2 linked regions of the Schizosaccharomyces pombe genome follow. Changing the gene in region 1 together with any one later gene gives a genetic interaction. Each region holds a gene or a part of one and is shown in the gene's direction. Other genes may lie near its edges.

The links. Genes that interact genetically often act in the same process or in processes that back each other up.
Region 2: of cek1 (region 1) and cut8, extra expression of one rescues a mutant of the other (dosage rescue), as found in Schizosaccharomyces pombe (one study listed by BioGRID).

Annotation. Positions count from the first base shown.
Region 1 is NC_003421.2:1,747,609-1,754,622, reverse strand, and holds cek1 (serine/threonine protein kinase Cek1), read left to right. Parts: upstream 1-1,679; 5' UTR 1,680-1,973; coding exon 1,974-5,990; 3' UTR 5,991-6,361; downstream 6,362-7,014. Other genes in the region: SPOM_SPCC1450.12 (uncharacterized protein), read right to left, coding at 58-336; nar1 (iron hydrogenase), read left to right, coding at 6,635-6,727, 6,806-7,014. UniProt on the Schizosaccharomyces pombe protein: May facilitate the progression of anaphase through direct or indirect interaction with the cut8 protein.
Region 2 is NC_003424.3:4,475,650-4,479,500, forward strand, and holds cut8 (nuclear proteasome tethering factor Cut8), read left to right. Parts: upstream 1-1,828; 5' UTR 1,829-2,200; coding exon 2,201-2,989; 3' UTR 2,990-2,992; downstream 2,993-3,851. Other genes in the region: protein Pex19, read right to left, coding at 221-825, 968-1,061; scs22 (VAMP/synaptobrevin-associated protein family protein), read right to left, coding at 2,993-3,646, 3,728-3,843. UniProt on the Schizosaccharomyces pombe protein: Together with nucleoporin alm1, tethers the proteasome to the nuclear envelope. Involved in ubiquitin-mediated protein degradation and facilitates the degradation of nuclear proteins like mitotic cyclin and cut2. Required for normal progression of anaphase.

The DNA of each region.
Region 1 (7,014 bases):
TATCTGGTTAGTAACAATCCGCATACTTTTAAAACATTTCCATCCATTATTACGTACATTGCGGAAGTTCACATTCCAAAGTTGGTTTTGGCTATCAGGATCCAAAAACGGAAACGTTAAAATAAATCTTTTAAAGATGAAGCGTAAAACGGGAATTTGGGATTTTTCATAGGGGATCACGGATTTTCCTTTTTCCACAAATGGACTACCGAGATGATCCAAATTGGTGGGTTCGCTCACGAAGTTCAATTCGTCTGCGATCAAAAGAGAGAAAAGTTCCTTCTTCAAATAGTGTCTTTTTAAAGCATCTATCTCTTCTGGAGATGCTGTATCCATGTCGTAAATATCAATTATCCGCTACACGGAATGCTGTAAGAGGGGAGTACCAGTTCGTAAATAATATATGTAATATTTATTTCACCTAGGTCTATACCGACATTTAAGGGACACTCGTTAAAATATTTTTTGACTAGTATACGTTAAAAAGTATAAGATGTGAAGGCTAAGTTAAAATAAGCGAAAGTACGCTAATTAGGTTTATGGTTTCTACACTACCACTCCTTATGTTAAAATGTTAAAAAGGTGCAGAAATCGAAAAAGGTAGGCAAAAGGAAACATTCATTGATGAGAAAACATTCCTTAATAAATAAATTTAATTATGTGATTTTTTGTATACTGCTTGCTCCATTTTTTTTTATATAACTTTGCGGGAGAATGGACCGCTTTCCGTATTCTTTGTTTACACCTCTGAATGAGCAAGGAAATAGTTTAAGATTTCTGTTCTCTGAAAAATTTAGAAACTTTCAAAAAAAAAAAAAAGAAGTAAAATAATAGGAAGTCCAAATTCATATATCTTGTTATATTAGACTTTTTAAAAGAGTAACACAAACTGAATAAAAAATAAACAACATATCATTTACTTTTGTAAACAAGAGATCAAGCGATTCCTAAAAAACGGAAATATCATATTCCAATTAATAATTATTTTTAATTGTAACTACTGTGCTTTTTTATTTTTATTTTTTAAAAACTCAAGACAAGTCCGTCTGCTTTCACTCGATTGAAAAATCAATGATATAGAGATCAGCTGCAATCGCAAAATATTTCCTTTTAAATAGCTTATGTATTCCCACAAGTTGAAATTCTTCTATTATACTTTTCTGTACTTCCCAAGCGATGATGGTATTATTTATAAGTCTGTGTTTTCTAGACATAATAAAAAAAAAGCGCAGCCAATCTAACACGCTTCTGCATAGCAATTGATCCTCTTTCAAACAAAGTGATATCTTTAAACGTTTGCGTGCTAATTTTGCAACCATTTTTTTTTTATAAATGTTGATGTTTACCCCATGTATTTACCCATTTTTTGTGCCCATACATCTATAAATTCCATAGGCATCATACTGTCTATTTATAATCCAGCAGCTAAAACAATTGTTCTTAAATTGTTTATTTTACTTCACATTGTCGATTCAACTTGGCTACTTTACAGCACTCCACCCTAATTCATTTCATTGCTATGAAATCTTCGCCCCGAATACTTATCTAGTATTATACATGCTGTACAAGCATAACTTTATGTTCTGAAGCAGAGAAAAAATTTTTTATTTGTTGACGAATTATGCGGCCAGACTAATGAACCACAATACTAATACTAAGTTGTAAGCCACTTAACTCCTAACCACCACCAAGTACTAAAAATCGTTCTTTTTTTCTAGCTTGATTGTATAGATACTGAGTGGAAATTCTATCATTATTAAAAGAATTGTTTTTGTTTGTTTTAGAATTATCCAGCTGGGTATTTCATACTCTTCGTTTTTCTTTCCTTTGTTTTTTCAGTGACTCAGTTATTTATAGCGCGTTTATTTGTTTTATATAAAAAGTTGTCGAATTAGCATACTTACTGCTCATACTTCTAATGATCCTATCCCTCTATTGAATTTACTGTATGCTGGAGACTCCGTCAGTTGTATATGAAGCATATAAAAAACGAACGCGAAGAAGTCTTCTTGGAAGATGACCAAGCTCAACATTCCCAGGCAGAGCTTCTCAGCTCAAAAGATGAGAACCTTCAACCTTCCATTCCTTTATCTCCCGTTGCATTCGAGCTTGACTTTTCCGGAAACTTTCAATTTATTAGCGATAACTCATCCGAACTTTTGGATATACCCAAAGACAAGATCATTGGGCATTCTGTAGCAGAAGTCCTTGGTACCGATGGATACAATGCGTTTATGAGAGCCGTTAACTGTCTTTTGAAGGATGACTCTCATAGCTATCATGTTCGGTTCCAACATTCAATTAACGCTAATCATGCCAATCAAAACTATTACACCGCTAAAGGAGATCTTCCAAGCGATGAAAAAATTACAAAACCTTTTGATGCTATTGGAATTCTCATTCGTCATCCTGGGTCCGCAATTCCCGCACACACGATGTGGGTTGTGAACCCAGCTACCAATTCCCTTGGTAGTGTATCTCCTCTTGTAACTAAATTATTGGATGTCATCGGTTTCGGTGCCAGTCTTTTAGACAAATATTTATGCGACTTAAGGACTTCCTATCACAAGCATAACAGCTTAGATGCGTTACCACTTCCGACCCCAGAGTTTTGCCAAATATGTGAACGTGAAATACAATCATGGTTTTTCGAGTTGCACTCCAAGTTTTGTCTTAGCACAAGCACCTATGAATCTGTTGTACAGGCTGCTCAGGATTCCTTGCTTTATTTCCGGAGTACCTTACTGGAAATTCAGGAAGGAATGCAGAAAGATTCAAGTCTTGTTCCCGTATACAAAAATGAACCGCTTATTGTTGATGCGGATGATTATTTTTTTACCGATGAGAATAAACAAACATTATCACTATGTTCATTCTTAAGTCAGGTTATGTACTACTTGGAAGTGGCTATCGACATTACTATTCCTCCAGTGAAAATCATTGTGAATTTTGATAAAGTGGATTCTCTTCGTGTTCAGTCTCCGCGGTCAGAAAAAGCTACTATCGAGCTTGATAATTATAACCCGTCCTTAGAAAATTGCTCATCCGCAGTGATTGCTCTCTGGGAGGACATAAAGACAGCAGTTGATACTAAAATTACTGGAGTTTTGCGTCTTCGAAATGCAATCTATTACTCTGAACGTATTCGTTTGGAAATTGACCATCATGTTCAAGAAATTATTGATGATGTCGTATCGAATTTGGTAACAAATCATTCCTCTACTTCTTTAGGACACTTGGAATCTAAATTAGCGCCTTCAATTACCTTTCCTGATGCCTGCGATGCACTCGAGGCAGAGGAATGCATTACTCGACCCGGGAGCGCTACAAATACACCACAATCTGATAGAAGCCTTGATATCAATGATCTTTCAAGATCCTCTTCTTATTCAAGGCATCTTAGCCATGTTTCTCTTAGTAATCCAGATTTTGCAATTGGTTCGCCTATGAGTCAAGATAGTTCAAATTATTCTTCTCCGTTACATAGAAGAAAAGCATCTGATTCCAATTTCTCCGATCCTCGTTTTGATGATTTAAAGTATCTTTCTCCAAATTCGAGTCCAAGATTTGTGGCTTCTGATGGTCCGAATCGCCCAGCATCTAACGGTCGTTCGTCTTTGTTTTCTCGTGGAAGGGCCAGCAACCTTGGAGATGTGGGACTACGTCTACCATCACCATCACCTCGTATACATACGATTGTACCCAACTCTGCCCCTGAGCATCCTTCTATCAATGACTACAAAATATTGAAGCCGATTAGCAAAGGTGCGTTTGGCTCTGTGTATCTGGCTCAGAAAAGAACTACTGGTGATTATTTTGCTATTAAAATATTAAAAAAATCGAATATGATAGCAAAGAATCAAGTTATCAATGTTAGAGCTGAACGTGCTATTCTCATGTCTCAAGGCGAATCACCATTTGTTGCCAAGTTGTATTACACCTTTCAATCAAAAGACTACCTTTATTTAGTTATGGAATATCTTAACGGCGGAGACTGTGGTTCACTTCTGAAAACCATGGGTGTATTAGATTTGGATTGGATTCGAACTTATATAGCTGAAACTGTTCTTTGTCTAGGTGATCTTCATGATCGTGGAATAATTCATCGTGATATCAAACCTGAAAACCTACTCATATCACAGAACGGACATTTAAAGCTCACAGATTTCGGTTTGAGTCGGGTCGGTTATATGAAAAGACACAGGAGAAAACAGAGTTCTTCAATTCCTGTACTTGACTTGAGAGATCGCTCTAGTGCTATATCTGATTTATCACTTAGTACTGCTTCATCGGTACTAGAAGCACAGTCTTTGATAACACCAGAGCGTCCCAAACGGCCTTCATTAAATGAAAAGCTTCTTTCTTTAGATGGTACTAGTATTCGACTTGCTGGACAAAGTTTCAATTACGAGAACAGCGCTGAGGATTCTCCCACTGCAACAAATACTCCTACTTCTCAGGTAGACGAATCCAACATTTTCCGTAGCACAGATTCGCCTCGAGTTCAACCGTTTTTTGAAAATAAAGATCCCTCTAAGCGATTTATTGGTACACCTGATTATATAGCACCCGAAGTTATCCTTGGAAATCCTGGTATTAAAGCGAGTGATTGGTGGTCCTTGGGTTGCGTTGTTTTTGAGTTTTTATTTGGATACCCCCCGTTTAACGCGGAAACGCCTGACCAAGTCTTTCAAAATATTCTTGCTAGGCGCATCAATTGGCCTGCCGAAGTTTTTACTGCTGAAAGTAGTGTTGCTTTGGATTTGATTGATCGCCTTCTATGTATGAATCCGGCAAATAGGCTTGGTGCCAACGGAGTAGAGGAGATAAAAGCACATCCTTTTTTCAAGTCTGTTAACTGGGATACTATCTTAGAAGAGGACCCTCCATTTGTACCAAAACCTTTTTCTCCTGAAGACACTGTGTATTTTGATTCTAGGGGACTTAAAGGATTTGATTTCAGTGAATATTACAATCAACCTACGGTGACAGAAGCACAAAAATTGGAAGAAGAAAGACCTGCATCCTCTATACCCCAGCATGTGTCTGGTAATCGTAAAGGTCGTTTACGAAGCAATACGATTAGTACTCCTGAATTTGGAAGTTTTACATATCGAAACTTGGATTTTCTTAATAAAGCTAACCGGAATACTATTCAAAAACTTAGAAAGGAGCATATGGCTGTTAAATCAGCAAAGACTTCTGTTGATGACACCTTTAGTCAGTACATGAGTAGGTTTAAAGCCAAACTTTCAACTTCTCAAAGTGTAGGTCCTGTTAAGTCTTCGCGTCGAGCTTCAATGGCTGACTATGAGGCATCCACCACGACAAGAGTGCAAGATATTACTACAGATTCAATTGATTCAATTGATGATTTTGATTCTCTGAAAGAAGGTCGGATGCTTTCATTTTTTGATAATTTAGCGTTAGAAGATCATAAGGGTGTTTCAAGCACTATGTCAGCATCACAATCGCAATCAAGCATGCACACGGCGTTACCAGACGTTACAGAGGGTACCTCATCAGATGAACATACTACAATTCAGAAGGGCAGGATTGACAACTTACAAGCTCAGAGTTTAACTCATAAGCGAAATGCCATTTCTTATCCAGGGTTATTTCAGCTTGACCGTTTACAAATGATAATTCCTAAGGATGAAATTGAACTTGCGGAGATCTTGAAAAAAATTTTTCCAAAGTTAACGCTTGTTCTAATAGATGATCCATGGAGCATTCTTAAGAAGCTTTTGCAGAACGAGCAATTTAACGTCGTATTCTTACATTTTGGAAATGATAAAGTATCTTCTTCCCGATTAATGTATTCAGTGCGAACCAGTGCTACTATAAATTCAAGGGTGCCGTTTGTATACATTTGCGAGGACGAGACTTGCATTCCGACTGATTTACAATCTGATGGAGTTTTGTTGAAACCCATTACTTGTGAGAACATTGAAAGCTGTCTACGAAAGTTAGATGTTTGGCACTCTTGAATTGAATCTTACATACTAAATGCCAGATCAGCTTCATATACTGTTTCTTTCCTTTCATTTTATAACTTCCCATGCACATTCTTTAAAAAATTAACTATTTTTTCTTTTGACCAATGTGGCATTTTTATCCTTCTTTAAGTATTTATTTCAGTGCGTTGCATTCCTTAACTTGAACCCGCTGTTTATTCATGGACATTTGCATTTTTTATAAGTTTTCACACGTGAAGAACATTATGAAAATATTTGTATACTAATTTACCATAACCGTTGTTTTACTTTATACGGATCTCGTTTTGTTTACCCTCATTTCTTTAGTTTTTTTTTACTTATTTAAATCTACAAATAAAATATATCATTCGGAAATAACAAGCTCAAACTGTTTGATAAATACAATACTATAATAAAGTATCTTCTTTTTTATACATATATATATATATATTGATGATTTTCGGGTACTGAGAATGCAAACGAATAAGGCAGTAAACCATGTTTCACTATTCCATACTTCATTTATTTTTTTCAGGTCTCATAAAAAGGATAGTGCACCACAGTGTGGCAAATAATATTACTAAAATAAAGAATTTCTTGTGCCAATGACAAATGCTGGGTTTTACTTTTAGCAAGCATTGTAATTTTATGGCAGAATGGCAAAGTTGTCTGTAAATGACTTGAATGACTTCTTAAGTCCTGGAGCTGTTTGCATAAAGCCTGCCCAAGTTAAAAAGCAGGAATCCAAGGTAAGATGCATTGGAAGAGCAGCAAGTATAACATCTGTCACATCTCTATTTTTTTTGTTCAACCAACTAACATGATAGAATGACATTCGTATAGACGGGGATGCTTACTATGAAGTAACTAAGGATACTGGAGAGACCTCCGAACTTGGGATTGCTAGTATTTCACTGAACGATTGTTTGGCCTGCAGTGGGTGTATTACATCTGCAGAAACAGTTCTGGTTAATCTTCAATCCTACCAAGAAGTTTTAAAGCATTTGGAATCTCGAAAATCTCAAGAAATTTTATA
Region 2 (3,851 bases), on another chromosome or scaffold:
GCCTTGACCTAATGTCAGCTAAAAACTTCTAAACAACTTTATATAAACCAACTTAACATATTTTAGCAGTTACAATCAAAAGAATTAATTACCTAAGTTCGTGGGTTACTAAATTGAAAATGAAAATAAGGAAATTTTTACAAAGAATCAATTATATATAATCCAAAACCCTAAGTTCAATAATATAACAGCGATGATACATATCCTTTAGTCAAGCCACTTACTGGGTTGGACATCCTGCAGTTTCCATAGAATTATCAATCAATGGAGCTGGAAGCGGCTTTTCCTGTATTTCTTCTACCAGTTTCGAAATGATATCTGCATCTTTACGAGCATCATATTCGGGACTCTCAAAAATTTGAATACATTTCTGAATTTTCTGGTACTGTTCTTCAAAACCTTGCTTCTCTGTCTCCTTCGCATTCTTTAAAAACTTAGGATAGTTTGCTTCAAGATCTTTAAGGGGTTCATACAAAATCTCTTTACTGGTAACTTGTGACATTAGGGAGTTTAAGGCAGCCTCTAAAGCACCATAGTTAACGGCTCCATTATCCGAATCTTTTTCCGTTGCAAACTGATCCTCTAATATAACATTGAGTAACTGATCATTCTGAAAGCTAGACGAAAGTTGACTCCCATCCAAGCCAGACGGTCCCCCTAAGTCTTCAAATTTGCTCATCATTTCTTGAATAAGTGAATTCAAATTATCGTCATTCTTTATCCTCTCATTCTCTTTTGATGTATTACCGGTTTGTTTATGCTCATCTATGTTTTTCTTCTCTTCGTTCTTAAATGCACTGGGTACATCTAAATCATCTAGGATATCTTTGTTTTGTTAGTTGTTTCCTTTTAATGTAAAGTCCTTTCTACCCTCTCATTATTTTTTATATTTATGCAATGCAAAATTCACTTGAACGAAATATCGTAATACACAAATCGTAGTCAGGACATTACCGATGTTCCATACCATCCAAATCATCAAGGTCGTCAAAATTCGGCTTTGTGTTGCTTTTTGTATTTTCTTTACGGTTTTCGTCTCCCTCAATAGTTGGATTTGACATTCCGTTTATATATCAGATGTCAGCATACGTTTGTCGTTTTTCAAAAGCCTCTTGCAAGTTCAATTATCATGTAATTCACAAAATAAATAAAAAAGTAGTAAGTTCAAAAAAAATGAAAATTTGGAACTGCCAAAAAAAAATAATAAAGTGCTTCTCTATTATTTTTCATGTAGGTAAAACCGTAGTGATCGTTGTTTATCAAAGTATATCAGCGTGAAAACGTTCAAGTGCATTAAGATGCGTTATTTGGTTTCAAATTTGACGCAATTTTAAATCTTCAAACAACAAATTTAATGGAATTTTTTTTATTTACTGGATGTATGAATCGTTTTAATTATTCATTGTTTGTGTATCTGGTATGAATCGAGTACGAAATTAACGATCATAAAATCGTCGACACAAGAACGTAAAGTCTACCCCCTGCTTTTATTACTTGCCTATGATCAGTTGAAATGAAGCTTTGTTTTCATTTTTAGCATCACCAATAAGTTAGAATTGACTACTGTTTACCAACAACAATTAGTTAAATAGTTATTGACTATAACATTGATCCATACGCACAATTACTTCGAAAAAAATTATTATTTTGCTCTTCCAACTTAACGATTTTCTGTACTGCGTTAACATATTATTGTAGGCTTGACACTCAGCTGCGGTGACATTATATTAAATAAAATGTAATTTTTTCAGTAAACAAATTAAGGAATTAAGTAATAGTTTGGTAACGTCTCATGAGAAGAAAACTCTTGAGCCACTAAATTGTTCTTACCATTTTCCATTATCTTTTTTAAGAAATCGAGGTTCTAATTGAGCTGGTATTGCGGGCAATAGAGCTTCTTGTAATATAGAAATTATAATCGACGGTTTTATTTCATTTGGGCTGAGAAAAAAATTAAATTGCTAGCTTTCATAAGTCGATACACTGAGCAATAGCCATCCTTCCGGCTTTTAAAAAAGGAAGCTCATTAACAAAGTATCCTCTATCTTTGTTTTATTGTTACTACTTTTGAAATTTTTTCCTCTTTCTTTTGGAATATCCATTTCTTTGTAATTTTCATTTTCTTTGTTATAATTAATCAGACGATTTCACGTTTGAAGTTGGTATCTTTATTTGTTGTTACTGTTCATTTCCTTAATTCATGGAGACCTTATCTTATTCTCAGATTAAGAAACGCAAAGCTGATTTTGACGAAGACATTTCTAAGCGTGCTCGTCAACTACCTGTGGGTGAGCAACTGCCATTGTCGAGACTGCTACAATATTCAGACAAACAACAGCTTTTTACAATTTTATTACAATGTGTAGAAAAGCATCCTGATCTCGCACGTGATATACGGGGCATATTACCGGCGCCGTCCATGGATACTTGTGTTGAAACGTTGCGTAAACTTTTAATTAACTTGAATGACTCATTTCCCTATGGTGGTGACAAGAGGGGTGATTACGCATTTAATAGAATTCGTGAAAAGTACATGGCTGTCTTACATGCGCTTAATGATATGGTTCCTTGTTATTTACCTCCATACTCTACTTGTTTTGAGAAAAATATTACTTTTCTTGATGCCGCTACAAACGTTGTCCACGAACTGCCAGAATTCCATAATCCCAACCATAATGTTTATAAAAGTCAAGCGTACTATGAATTAACGGGCGCGTGGCTTGTTGTTTTAAGACAACTTGAGGATCGGCCTGTAGTCCCTTTACTACCTTTGGAAGAGTTGGAAGAGCACAATAAAACATCACAAAACAGAATGGAAGAGGCATTAAATTACCTTAAGCAATTACAAAAAAATGAGCCACTTGTACATGAAAGAAGTCATACTTTTCAACAAACAAATCCACAAAACAATTTTCATCGTCATACTAATAGTATGAACATTGGGAATGACAATGGAATGGGTTGGCACAGTATGCATCAATATATTTAAAAACTAGAACAGAAGGCCTATAAGGAAACATATAATGGCTAATAGGAAAGCGGTTTGCACAGTAACTGTGTTATGAATTTGAGGAACAACCTTGGCACCACTAGTCGGACGCCCAAAAGACGATGAAACGCGTGCAAGTCCTATTTGATTTCCACTGTTTCCAGCGAACATAGATGGACTCGTAGCTGTTGATTGTCTTGTGTTATTAATTACATTAGCGGTAGATCTTAATGCATTATTTTCATTGTTAGGAGAAGTGGTAGTAGGCACTGACTGAGGCTTTGGGTAAGGTTCATTTTCAGCGACTGTTGCAGTAGGAGCTTTTACGGCAGTAGATGGGGCTTCATGGGGCTTCTGGTGAGAAACTGCAGATGTTTTAGGAAGCTGGGTATGCTGTGTAGTAGCTGTAGATGGAGCAGCTACGGGATTTGCATGGGTCGAAGGAAGTGCCGTTCCGTCTATTCCTTTAGAGTAAGATTGATTAACATTACCATTTACTGTGGTATAATTGTCAGTGGCAGAAGTAGGAATAGATGTAGTCGTTGTTTGAGCTGGTTGATGGTGAGCATTAGCATGAGCATTTGCAGTACTGGGGCCTTCACTATAAACACATCGAATTTTTCGTTCCGATATATTAGCCTTGCTGACTTGAGTCCACTATTAAAGTATTGGTTAGAACATCAATTATGTATGGCATGTATTAAAAAAGTAAATGTAAGTATATCTTTTATCACATACAATATCTGCTATATCCATTCCCTGTAATTCTGGCTTCAATTCAGTGCTCTGGACCAAAAATTTATCGCGGCATTTTGTGCCAGGAGCCGGTTCGTGATCTAGAGGCTGTAGGATAACTATTAAA